Linked DNA regions of Drosophila melanogaster. The protein of the gene in region 3 interacts with the protein of the main gene of each other region in a pairwise test. Each region holds a gene or a part of one and is shown on either strand. Other genes may lie near its edges.

Region 1 (4,617 bases), about 10 Mb from region 3:
GGTATTTAAATAGAAAAACTATCTTTTAGCCTGGAGGCCTAGATGTGCAAGGTCTGATTCAAACGGGAACCTCGCTGATCTCTGGTCTTCTGGGCGGGAATAAGAACTTTGGCCTCGTGTTGGGACAATATGTGGGCACTGCTTTGGATGGTCTCTCTGGAGGTGGTGGAGCGGTGGGTTCCTCAAACCTATTTTCATGAATTTCCAGTCATTTTACTTGCATATATTATTTTTTCCAGATTAACAATGGCCAGTTTATAGGCAACTTCTTGGGCACTGTGCTGGCCGCATTGAGCGCTGTATTTATATATTTTGCTTATATATATATTTACCTTCTAGATCCCAACCTCATAACTGTGTTACTAACCCCTGAACGTCATTTATTTAGCGAGTGCAATAAACAACATTCTACAATCTTTAACAGGATCCCGAGGAGGAGGGCCCACCGCAACCATTGACCTTCACCAAGAACCTGATCACCAGCTTCCTGGAGGCAAAGTTTCGACCAATTTCAGAGGACGGCTCAGAGGAGCGACACGGAAGTGCGGAGTTGCCACGCCCGCGAAAGAAGAAGGAGGGCGGTGGATGGGCAGCTGCGGCGGCAAATAACTTTGATTCTGGAGGATTTGTGAAGCAAGTGGCCTCCCATCTGGTGAGCAATGCCCTTGGATTGATTTTGAATGCCGGTCTGGGAGCCGCTGGAGGAGCTTCGAGTGCAGCCAAGAATATTTTCGCCAGCAGCAGCATGGGTCATCATGCCAAGCCGGCAGATCACCATAGATCTTGGAACCCCTACCATAATGAGCCATTCTAGCCAGCTTAGTCATCACATAATCATAGTTACGTTAATCGTTTGTGTTAAACCCATTTTTTTTTTGCTAGTTCGTAACCGAAATAAATAAAGAAGTGAGGAGAAAGACTTGTTGGTCACTTGGGCAGCTAAGAAAGCGTAAAAGAGGGGCTCTAAATCAAGTGGCGTAACAGCTTGGACAGCGGCTGATGCAAGAGATCCGATGGAATTCAGTGGGAGCCACTGCAATGAACCACTCCCCCAAGGATGCGGTGGGGCAAATCACTGGATGGAAACGCAAAAAGCGAAAGCTCGCAATGAGCGGAAGTAAAAACTAAGTAAAGGTTGAGGGGTGAAATAGCTTGTTTGGGTTCATTTCCTCAAACTAAAGTTCAGTGGAAGGTAGAACAGGGGAATGAACTACGGATTTCGGCTCAGGAGTTTCGCTTCAAAAATTAGTTTTAAATACATTTGGCAATACCTTAATTAACTAATATTTAAATTAAAAAGATAGAATTAATATATATTTTGTAACCCAATAGCCTAATAGCGAATATTTTTGGATCTTCTTGACCCAAGAGTTTTCCCTGAACCTTTCTCCGTGGGCCAACTACTTGGTAGCTTGCCCAATGGAGCGGGCATTGTGTCACTTTCTACTGATTACAGGTTTCATTAAAATGCTTTTACTTGTTTACTTCTGGTGCTTTCTCTGACTCTCTCGCTCTCTCTCTTCCGCCTGCTCTCTCTCTCTCTCTCTCATTCTGTCTTTCTCTTTTTTTTTTTTGAAGTGGGCTGAATATTTTTTTAGCGGCGAGTTTCAGTTTTCAGTTATGCGTGAATCTTTCACAAGACAAAGTGACATTTTGCGGGCCGTTTAGTTGTCGCGTTTTTAATTTGAAAAACTTCAGGTTGTGTTTATTGTTTTGTGTTTTTCTTGTGCGCTCAGTGTTTGTGCTGGTTTATTTGCATTTTGAAATTGTTTATGAACTCAATTATATATTTGGGTGCTTCGGAGAGTTCGCATTGCAATTAAGTTTGGCAAGCCGCATTTTTATTTTATTATATTTCGGGTGAGTATGTATATAAGGCGGCTGAAAGCCGAAAAAAAGGGAAATAAGCGACAATCCCAGCTCAAAATGTATGTCAAAACGAAAGACTTAGGCAACGAACTTGCTAACTGGGCTAAGCCTCAACTGAAAATGCTGGCATAGGTCAGGTCTGTTCCAAAAACAAACAACACTACGGGGGGCTATTAATGGAGGGGGTTATTGAAGAGGGGGGGGGCGCTATTGGTTAGCGTTCGTCCATTAATCGCTTTGGCTACCGAAATTTGGCAACAGCGCCGACGTCAACAATGCAAAAGTGAAGATTCAAATGCGTTAATTGCTTCATAAATCAATTAACAAGAGCCTAACCAATCGTAAGCCGAAAAAAGGGAGAGTTTTATTGTTCTCCTATGACTTACGCTTTGTGTTCAGTGTCATATTTGATTGTTGATTATATTAAGCTATATGGATGGTGTCCAACATTTACTGGTTGACGTGCTACTTAAAATGCTATATAAATTACAAATTTTACATACATTTTAAAAAGGTTTTTTGTTTTTATAGGGAAGTGATTTGAGGGAACTTTCCTTTTTACTCTATTTCATTCGCATTTCATTTGAATTTTCGGGGTTAACTACCTGGTAACCTACTACTCATATTCGGCCTGACCCCTGGTCGCTGTCATGATTGAGGATGAACCAGAGTCAGAGCTAAAAAGACACTCAAAAATTAAAAAAAAAAACAAAAAAAATCACCAACTTGTCTGGGCCATGCAAGAGTGGCCTGGCCCAAAGAAACCGGTAACGGTCTCAAGGTCGTTCGTCGAATCGATGGCTCTGGCCAGATAAGCCTTAGCCCAAGATACAGCAGCCAGTTTAGCCATCAACGCGCTTTGGGCCAAAAGCTAAAAGCTATCAGCCATCAACTCTAAGGCATAAGCAATAACAAAACTCAGTGATGATAGCTGGGCCAAAATAAAAAATAAATAAATAAAATCGAAAACGAGGAAAAAAGCGAAAGTGAACGCCATGAAAGTGGAGCAGTCGAGCTGGAAATCCGCCGAAGGCAAACCGGCGGGGGGGGGGGGGTTGCGTCTCTTCATAAACAAAAAGATATATATGCAGGTGTCATATCTAAGTCGGTCAATAAGTTTATTGACCAGGCGACGCTCCAAATTGTGCGGTTGTTTCGGGAGAGTTATGCAAATCGATTGTGGCAACCCGATATCGAAAAGCGTAGAAACTTATGGCCGTTAAACAATGCACCCTTTTATATTTTTCGGGCCGATTAATATGCAAATCTCGAAATTTCTTATCCACCACTCGATATGTTGTGGCTTTATGTTTCAATTATGAGCGTTAAAGTCCGTATCGCAGATCTTGTATTATACGAATTTTCACACATTTTTTATGATGATATTTTTCCTGGGCAGTAAATTATAAGTTGATGCGGGTCTGGGCGAATGACTGTTTATGTTATTACCGGAGTGTTTTTGCCTATTATAAAATATGTTTAATACTCTTGAGTTTTATTTGCTTGGCAATTTCATAAGCCTTTGGCATTTTCGTTTAGCTTAGAAGTGATTTCCAATTTACGCCTCATTTAACAGCACTAAGTTCTGCACGGCAATTAAGCAAAGTGATCAGATTTGAAATGCCTTTCAAAATATCTAATGCCAAAATGATATTATTACGGGGCGACCTTCGCCGGCCGCCAGTGGCGAGATTTATTAATACTATAATTACAATAATGGCTGAACAAACAAATAAACGCTACATGACAGCAGAATCTGAATCTCCGGCAACCTTTGCGCAAAATCAAACGAATCATTTTTGCCTGGCCAAGAACAAAGTTCGTTTGTCCGATTCTAATACTAATTCTCAGACTGAGTTTTCAGTGAATGGTGGTCAGTTATTTAGTCTGTCGGCAACGCCTTTTCCAATTAAATTCGACCCGGCTATTGGGTACAAAGCAAAAGCACTCGATGCGAAAGATTGGCTTACAAACGGTCTTAATATAAACCGAATTAACTTTATTTTTCCATTAGAGTATTACACATGTGGTGCAAATCTTCGTGGGATTTGCTAAGTTAATTGCAACTTTTTAGAGATTGTCTACACACAACAACTAAAAGTCATTTGAACGTATCTCTTAAAACAAAAATATCAATTCTTTGGCAAGACGTTCTATTGCTTAGTGATTGGTTTTAAAGATATATGGTACCTCTTTTTTTTATATCTTGCCTATACCTGGCACATATTTATTTTGGCATATTTTAGATATTTATTAATAAGTAATCCCAGTCTTAAAAACATTTCCTTGGTCAAATGTCAAATGTACTGGCCGTAAAACACTTGCGCAAAGCCATCAGCAGTTCATTAGAGGCCCATTGCTGCGGCGGAGTTGAATACATTAGATGGAAATGGATGCGGAATCGAGTGCTGGCTTCTCCTCCATCTGGTTAACGAGCCGCACTCTCGGTCCAAATGAATTGGTTAATGGGTAATGGTTATGACCGTCTTCCCAACTTGCGGCGTGTAAACGGTTACTCGTTAAGCAAGGGGGTGCCCAATAGACCTGTTACCCGTTTCACTATATCTATTTTCCATTTTAATTTTATTATTAATTTTTTTTTCTCTGTTTTTCCTGCGTGCACTTAGCGGAGTCATTGTGGCCAGAACAGCGATGAGCAGGTGACATTAATGCCATGGCCCAAAACTGAGCAAAACCACACAAAAAAAAAAGAAAGAAAAAATAGCAGCCAGCGCATAATGCATAATG
Region 2 (3,365 bases), on a different chromosome or scaffold from region 3:
GAGCAGTGCAACCGCGTTGCCTTCAGATTAAATTAAAAGTTTTTTTTTGGATTACATAGCTAATTAAAGAAAATCCATTGAGGTGAATTTTTAGAGGAAGATCAATTTCCGTTGACGCACAAAGGCCAACTATAGGTAGAAATACAGATAAATGCTAACTAGGGTGGACCTCAGTCGTATAAAGAGTGGCCCTTTAGGTCATCATTCATACGCAATGTTGCCAGTGGAATCTCATCAAATGATATAAAAGCTAAATAACAAACAAATGAAGAGATTAGTGCTTGTTTTTAAAATCGTTTACTTTAGAATTTATAAAAAGTCTTGCTTTGAATCCTCAACGTTAAGGTCCACTCTAATGTTGGCAATGCATATACATATATATGTTCTTTAACCGAAACGCATTGATGTTCGTGTCGTTTGCCAAACCAAATTCAATTGCAAATTTCCGTTTCGAGATGGTCAAGGCTTTCGTTGTTGTCTTTTTTATTAGCTACATTTCTCAAAAGCAAACAAATTAGAAAATTTATACATATATAAATATAAAGTGTAGTCTGGTTGGGGCATGTGTCTGAAACACGCGCAATGATTTTCACAATTTGCCATTTTGCGCAACTTGAAACGCACAGCATTTGAAAATTCTGGTTCAATGTTGTCATATAAACAAATCTTGTTTCCATATGCTTTCTGACATACATATTCTGGTCTTCATTTTTTACTTTGAGCGATTTGTTCAAACTTTTAGTTGAACGATGGCGTCCGAGTGCAATGAACTTTTTCTGGACGTTTCCTAAGTGGTATAAATTATACGTTTTGATGCCAAATAAAGTTTAATAGTTTGGTTTTACTACAATTGCTTATTCAACCAATATTCCACCAATAACTATAGCTATAATTCCGAATATGTAAAACATCAGCAGATAGTACAACTTATTGCCAAAGCTGTAGATTTTCTTGATTATTATTCCCTCTAAGGATTTCCTATCCACATCGCTGGACAAAGGTAGTCTCATTTCGTATCCATGGTCGTCGGCATAAAACTTAGGTATCCAGCGATATTTCACATATCCCAAGGACTCGTAAAGCCCAATGGCAATTGTATTCTTCTCTCGCACAAATAGATCTATATAAAAGTCTTTCTGACGATCCATCATATCCCTAACGGTTGTTAAGAGCCGAGTGCCCAAGCCCAGTTTACGATAATCCTGAGCTACGGCCAGAGCAGAGATGTGTCCATGATTCCAGGTCATAGTCTTTGCATCTCCAAAAGATTCAGTCGCATCCTCGACGCGTGTCCCCAGAATGAAGCCCATGAGACTATTGTCAGGAGCATCGGCGGCAAGAACCAGTTCGGGATGCTCCAGAATCTTGGGAAGCAAGAATGGCAAGGAGTACACTTCCGCCAAGGGATCCATCACAATATTGTTAAACTTGAACAGATCTTCGAGAACAAACAATCTCGGAGAAGTCATGACTCGCTGGGATATAATAGGAATTTTTTTATCTTGTTCAATATTATGTTTACTTTGTTAATGTGACATATTTTTTTTCCTCAGTTACTACTTTGTACGCTAAACCAAAATATGTTTTAAAGATCTCGAAATCACCGATGAACTAACGAAAGAGATTTCAAATATTCAACTATTTCTTCGTATCGCAATTAAAGAAAAGAAAACTTGACGCAAAATCCCGGCATACTTTTAGGCTTTTCGAAAGTCTAGATCTACAATAATGTTGACATTTTATTAAATCGTTCGCTCTTAATATATTGCAGCATATCACGTCTTAGACTAATCGAAATCCTATGTTATTTAATGTTCTTGTAGATCCAGGGCAGCAGCGAAGTGACACGAGTGTAGACGCCAGGATATTGACCCTTGCCGCAACCAATGCCCCAGGACACGATTCCCACCTGGGTGTACCGTCCACCATCATTGATGACCATGGGTCCGCCAGAGTCGCCCTATAAATTAAATCAGTCTGAGAATCTTGATGATCACTTATATATATCATCACTTACACTGCAGGAATCTTTGGCTGCCTGACCAGCGCAAATCATCGACTCAATGATCCCACCAGGCGCTGCACGTCCATATTTCCTGGCACACTCGGCATTTGTCCAAATGGGAATATCCACCTTCTGCAGGATGGATGGCTGTGGCCCATTCTCCCGAAGACTTCCCCATCCGGCCACGGTGGCCACTTGGCCACTGTATGATCGGGATTGCTGCGAGGGCGAGGTGGGCAGGCAAATTGGTTGGATCTCCCTGGTGAAGGGCACTGGTTCACTCAACGTCAGTATGGCCACGTCGTTGTGCTGGGAAAGAGGATTATCATTTGAATATAATGATGGAAATCACTAGGTCTTTCAGAAACATAGATTGGATTCTCTTACCAAAGTGCTGAATTCGAAACCCTTGTGCCGCACAAGTCGTTTGATCCTGCGGGAAACATGCTGCACCTCGAAGTCCGTGCCGATGTTGTAGTCACCCAGATGGGCTGTTAAGGCCGCCACATCCCACGAGGTCATGCTGCAATAACCACAAGTTTTTAGGATATTCTAAAAGGACACAGTCTTATTCCTCACCGTGCCACACAGTGAGCTGCGGTCAGAATGTGACTATTGGTAATAAGACTGCCGCCGCAGAACTGCTTTCCCGACTTGAAGAGCACAGCGATCCAGGGAAATTCGTGTGGACTGGCATTGATGCCGCCAACGATCCGCTCCTGGTCGGGCGTCACTGGATTCTTATTGCCGCACTGCAGCGGAAGTCCTTCCGAACTAGTTCCGCTCACAGGACGTCTCGTAGTTGTCGTGGTTGTAACTGGCGAGGGATAACTAGGATAAGTGGGTCGCCTAGTGGTTGTCGGTCTGGCTGGGCTTGTGGGCCTTGGTGTGGTGCGCTTGGTGCTTGGAACTCCTCCTGTGGTGGGGTGCGTGGGATAATGGTGGTTCGGCGGATGGGTGGGCAGCGGTGGTGGCCAACCACCCGTTGTGGGTGGGTGAGTCGGTAGCGCTGGTGGCCACTGGCCGCCAGCAAAGGAACCGAAAGGCCACTGGTAGGGATGAATGGTAGACGCTGGTTGGGTGGAAATAGGCTGCTCCACCGGTTCCCCCACCGGTTCTGCTTCCGGTTTTTTATCTGCTCCTGGAGGATTACCCTCAATCGTGTTGATGTCCTGGAAATCCGGCGTATCCTCCACACTGTTCGCATTGTCAATGGGCTCTTCCGGTCGAGGAACATCCGGAGGATATACACCCTCCACTTCTCCCTCGGGAATCACATGTTCCCTATCCTCCTCATCAGCCACCACTGAAGGCATCTCCGTAGTCGTGGTCGTCGTTGTCGTTGTTCCAGGGAGTGGGA
Region 3 (5,666 bases):
GCATCTCCCAAGGACAGCGGCTTTTGGGTCATTGCGTGGCCGCTTAGCATATTTATGCATATATTATGTACATATATTACCGGCATGCTCCGCCGCTTGGCCGCTGGAAGCATCGGGATGACACAGTTTTCCATCCCATGGGCGTAGCTCCTCGGAAATGGCTACACCAAACCAACCCCCCCCCCTCCCCTCCCCCACCAATCACCTGTAGACCAGTTCCCAAGCAGGCAAAACTAGAAATTCTATATTGTATCAGGCATTTCATTGGATTCCTATGGATCACCATGTTTCTAATAGATATACAACATTCAATTTGTAAGATACATTTATTACATTAGTACTTGCTCTTGTTAATTTCATCATATTTTAATATTTCTAAATGATAGTTTATAAAAATGTGCTCTTATTTCAATTATACATATATAATGTATATTATCTTACCTTATTTTACCAAAAGTAATAATGCTAAATTTTTGATTTGCGGGAGTGGCGTTTAAGACATTACCTTCCAACTAATTGGGTGTGTTACTCATTACCAAGTCTTTCATCCGTCCGTCTGCATATATGCAATGTATATATAGTATAATTTAAAGATACAGATCCAGACCGAAACTACGCCCATGGCGTGTCCTCTTCAGCCTTGAAGTCTCAATTTTTGGCTGGCACTTTGGACGAAAGGACGGTCTTCCAACTCCAACTCGTCGCCAAATGGATGGTACCTGTTTGGCTGGCCTTTTGGTCGATCGATGTAAGCCATTTGCATGCGGACCATCAACCCGGCCAACTCAATTCGAGCCAACTGAATTCGGGGATCGTTGACGCATATGAATTTATTTACGTTCATTTTCGTGTGTGTGTGTGTGTTGCTTTTTTGGTCACATCGACACACTGATCGCAGGGAACGCATACCCTACTCGAACCGCATCCATCGGTCGCTCGATCGCATTTGGTTATTTGACGGTCAATACCCGGAAATGTGCAGCTGACCAGATGGCTTACAAGCTGGAATTTTGTATTTTTGCACAGGGTCAACTATTTATTACTCTATATGCCTAAGAACCACCCATTTTTAGCATATAATTTTATTTTTAAGCGAAACAATTGAATTGAAACGCTAATGGAAATCAATTTAACATCTTCTCTACCTGCATAAATGACCGCTAGATGGCTCTGCAGATCAAGATCACTAAAGAATTTGCGGCATTAAAACTGTAATTATACGATAAATAACATTGTTTTTCTTTTTTTTTAATAGCCTTTGAGTATTCTTAAGAGTTCGCTTACAAATACATAGAAGCATTTCCTAATTCTTCCAAGATTTCGATGTAATCTCCAAGTCATCTGATACAGGTGACGCCTTCAACACAGTTGATCAATGCGCGGCCTGAAGAATTCGCGTGGTGCACATTAAGCTAGGGCATCTGGCCAGCGGTTTTCCGGTCCTCGCCCCTGGACTTTCTTGTTTTTGTGCCATTACATCTCTGGCTCGCCTTTCTTCGTCGCCTTTGGAGCCCCGGCTCCATTCCATTCCCATATCCAGTCCAGCTCCAGCCGCAGCTCGTTTGGCCTGGCTCGGTTTCGTGTGGTAGTAGTAGTAGTAGTGGTGGTGGTGGTGGTGGTGATGGTAGTGGCAGTGGCAGTGGCGGGGGCGGTAGTGGCCCCGCCCATTGGCATCACTCTGCCGCAGCCGACGGCGTCGTCGCGTCGTCGGCGACGTCGAGCAGAGCCGGTAAAAAGTCTTGAAAAGTGCGCCTCTTTGGCGTTCCGTTGTTAGTTTAGTTTAACCATCGCAGCGCTTGAGTCGCGATTAGTTGCTCAAGTATCCAGTTGCCAGGATCGTTGCTCTGCTTTTTTTTTCTCAGACCCCGAGTCCAAAATGAAGTTATTTTTATGTGCCATTGCTGTGACCCTGTGTGTGGCGACAAGTGAGTGTGAATCAATGGATCCGTGGGAATGGATCAATGGATCGTTCAATGGATCAGTGGTGCCCAGTTCAAGTGACTGACGACTGACTGGCCAGTGCCAGCCCATCCGCCAAGTCAGAGTCGCAAATTGTTGCTAATTACTTTGACACTGACACCGAAATCAAGACTCGATCTCGATCTGCTGCCGCTGTGTGTTTTGGCCAGCTAAGTAGCTAAGTAGCTAAGAGCTAAGAGCCATAAGTAGCTAATCATATTTAGCCGTCTCGCAAGACTGGGCCTCAGACGCAAATGTTGAATCTGGTCGCGATTGCGGATCTACAGGCCACATGCAGATCGAGATGGAGGGCCGTTTTCCGTCTGGAAAAACTGGAATGCTGGCCAAGCCCAAGATGCTGTCTGGCTGTCTGGGCCGCTGGGGTTATGCAACTCATGCAGTTTGTTGGCCAAGTGGAAAACGGCTCTTCTGGGCCGCAAGAGAAGTGCATTGAACCCGGACCGAACGTCGTAATCTTGGCATTATGCTGAGTATGAAGCCTTCTCTGACATTTAAATTTCGACATTTCGAATCACTTACCGGTGTGTTACGGAAATCCAAAGAATTCGCGTAGTTTGAATTCCCAATTTCGGTTGTAGAAGATATTGTCAGCATAGCGAATGCAAAGGTGTATAGAAGTATGCAGTGATTTTCGCATTGTATACATTTTTTATAGCTATCCTTTAGGCGCCCAAGTAAGAGATTTCACATTGGTTGAGTAAATAGTACTAACCTATATCTAGCTTACCGAAGTCAGTGGGATTCTGGTCAAATGTATCAAGCGATAGCAACCTGTTCCAATGGAAAACCACTGATCATTTCTTGGGCCACCGGGAGTGGTGGCAACCAGGAAACCGCAAATGCGGAATTGCCATCGGTAATCGAACGTCGTTCGATCTGTTACACTTTCGAGTGCGACTGGGGGTCGCCAGGAAAGTGAAAGTGGGAAAACCAGTTGACTGAAGTGCTTGTTTCTTTCCTTTGTTTTACCCCAACACCAGCCGTGTCCGCCGCCAACTTCGAGTGCCCGAAGCCCAATGGCCAGTTCGCCGATGAGGTGCAGTGCGACAAGTTCTACGTCTGCGACGACGGAGTGGCCAAGGCGAAGCTCTGTCCCGATGGCCTGGTCTTCGATCCACTCAACCGCAAGTTCAACAAGTGCGACCAGCCCTTCAATGTGGACTGCGAGGACCGCACTGAGCTCCGTAAGTAGCCCATCCCATCACCATTTCTATTTCTAGGCTATTGTTACCGACCCCTTGGGAATGGTCACGAAAACTATGTCAAGGCAGAGCGCTAAACAGGTTATTCCAATTACATCATTACATCACCATTAACTATGTAGGGAGTTAAATTTAAATTCGCCTCTTAAGTTCAAATTTAGCTTACTAATGAAAGCATCAGTTGAAAGGATGAATTTGTAGCATACTTTTGGACATCTCTATATTTAAAGCAAATACACCACTACAATGAGCTATCCAAAAGTTATGTAGTTGTGTAGCTCCTTTGGTAGACGGAGGAACTAACCCTGTTCGGTTTCCCCTTCACAGAGGAGCCGAAGTCCAGCAAGTACTGCCCGCGCAAGAACGGCTTCTTCGCGCATCCCGATCCCGCCGTGTGCAACATCTTCTACAACTGCATCGAAGGCGACGCCCTGGAGACCAAGTGCACCGTCGGCCTCCACTTCGACGAGTACTCGGGCACCTGCGTGTGGCCGGATACCGCTAAGCGCGAGGGCTGCAATCCGGAGCAGAGTAAGTGGACCGATTGAGTCGCCGTGCGGCGGAGTGGGCTAATGGTCTGGCATGTGGTGTGTACTTTCAGGAACCTCCGAGACCGGCTTCGTGTGCCCCAAGGATCAGCCAAAGACCGACGATCGCGGCCAGGTGGTGACCCACCCCAAGTATCCGCATCCCACCGACTGCCAGAAGTTCTACGTGTGCCTGAACGGCGAGGATCCCAGGGATCTGGGCTGCCAGCTGGGCGAGGTCTACAACGATGCCACCGAGATGTGCGATGCTCCCGAGAATGTGCCCGGCTGCGAGGACTGGTACAAGGATGTGGACGACAAGAAGGACTAAGCCACTTCCGGTCGCTTCTACTTCTCCTCATCACATCCACACTCACAACTCATGCACATGCACACGCACACACAAGCACACTGAAAGAAATTATCAATCAAATCAAATCGAAACAATTCGAAACAAATCAACACACAGATTCGCGTCTTAGTCACTTAAATTTAGTAGTTCTAGCCCATTTCCTATAGAGCGTATGTGTAGCAGTTAAACTTCAATACTCTGACCTATCTATTTCTTAACTATCTTTCTCTATATCTGACTACTTCTAACTACTTTTCTAACTACCCAAATCTCCATTTCTGTGCCCAACCAAACGCTGCCAAATTGTTGTGTATATATTTCCCGCTTTCAGACTTTCGCCTTATTATTATACAAAAAGAATAAACTGAATTTTTTATAAACTATCTATATCTATCTATCTACTATAAACTATCTTCCCAATCCCAAGACTACTACTATTCCATATACTGTTTCAGCTATCCTATGTGATCTTCGCCTAAAATTTCAATTTCCCTCATCTCTACGTTACTCTACTTAACTTCTTATCATATTCCAAAACCAATTTTCTGTCTATAAGGAAACCCACTCTTTACAAACTTTTGTCCTCCTAAAATTTTCAAACTTGAATCTTTTCCGTTCTCTTTTCTTGATTTCTTTCTTTCTATCTTTAAAATTTCAATTTAGTTCGTGTTTTATTGTTTTGCGAACTGTTACGCTACAGTTTATTATTCCTAAAATGCTCCTTTTTTAAGCATTTCAATCCTGTAATCTTGTATTTCACTTCTACCTCAAGTTTCAAATCTAAATCTTTTCTATACATTCTATCTTCCTCATAAATATTTCCTTGTATTTCGATTATACCTACTGTATAAATACTCTTTTAGACTATGCTATATGTTATTTATTAATAAACATCTTGACTTGCCTGCAAAATCCAAACGATAAGAAATTTTCACGTACCTTATTTAAGTAATCATTCAACCGACTGTAAACCCATGACACCCAAACTCACTTCCCATTCTCCGATCTTTCTCGAATTAAAAAAAACTATGTATTTCGAATCTATACAAAACTAGTGTGCATCTCGTGGGGAAATAGCAAAAAAAGGGAGGGGGGGGGGGGGGGGTTGAGTGGTCGATTGACCAATCAATCAAACCTTTCACTCCACACGCAATATCGGATAATCGCCGTGGACGGGCGGGATCGGTGCATCCATTATCCATCATAGCCCTTTGTCCCTCCATCGGTTGCAAAGAGTCTTTAATTGGCCGAGTGGCCAAGCGGACCGCACATTTACACATGTAAATGAACACAAAAAGCAGGCAAGAGTGCTTATGCAATCGCCGCAGCACGAGCAAAGCAAAGCAAAAGCAAAAGTTTTGCAATAGTTAACAATGTAACGGCAATCGGCAAACGGGGCCCAATCATGAATGAAGCTTATGGTCTGCGCGAGCTTTGCCTTTTACTTTCAATCACACATGTTGCCAGAGAAGCTCGATTTCCGCCTTGGCGTGTTTTTCTTTTTCAAGCCAGGAAATGGACCCGAACTAGCTAGGAAACTAGCTAAATCATTGGCAGTGTGGAGCGAAAGCGACCTTGTGCACAGCGTGGATGCTGGATGCATCC

What was found.
Region 1: the proteins of obst-A (region 3) and CG43386 interact in a two-hybrid assay, tested with the Drosophila melanogaster proteins (one large-scale study listed by BioGRID).
Region 2: the proteins of obst-A (region 3) and Naa20B interact in a two-hybrid assay, tested with the Drosophila melanogaster proteins (one large-scale study listed by BioGRID).

The regions. Positions count from the first base shown.
Region 1 is NC_004354.4:9,974,402-9,979,018, reverse strand, and holds the start of CG43386 (uncharacterized protein), read left to right. Parts: upstream 1-1,613; 5' UTR 1,614-1,860; intron 1,861-4,617. Other genes in the region: CG15252 (uncharacterized protein), read left to right, coding at 30-173, 240-299, 425-814.
Region 2 is NT_033779.5:13,255,784-13,259,148, reverse strand, and holds Naa20B (N(alpha)-acetyltransferase 20 B), read right to left. Parts: upstream 1,673-3,365; 5' UTR 1,470-1,672; coding exon 855-1,469; 3' UTR 505-854; downstream 1-504. Other genes in the region: CG31730 (uncharacterized protein), read left to right, coding at 1-2; l(2)k05911 (lethal (2) k05911), read right to left, coding at 1,805-1,960, 2,018-2,314, 2,393-2,528, 2,585-3,365.
Region 3 is NC_004354.4:20,238,102-20,243,767, forward strand, and holds obst-A (obstructor-A), read left to right. Parts: upstream 1-1,753; 5' UTR 1,754-1,876; coding exon 1,877-1,925; intron 1,926-2,960; coding exon 2,961-3,164; intron 3,165-3,509; coding exon 3,510-3,713; intron 3,714-3,783; coding exon 3,784-4,040; 3' UTR 4,041-5,108; downstream 5,109-5,666.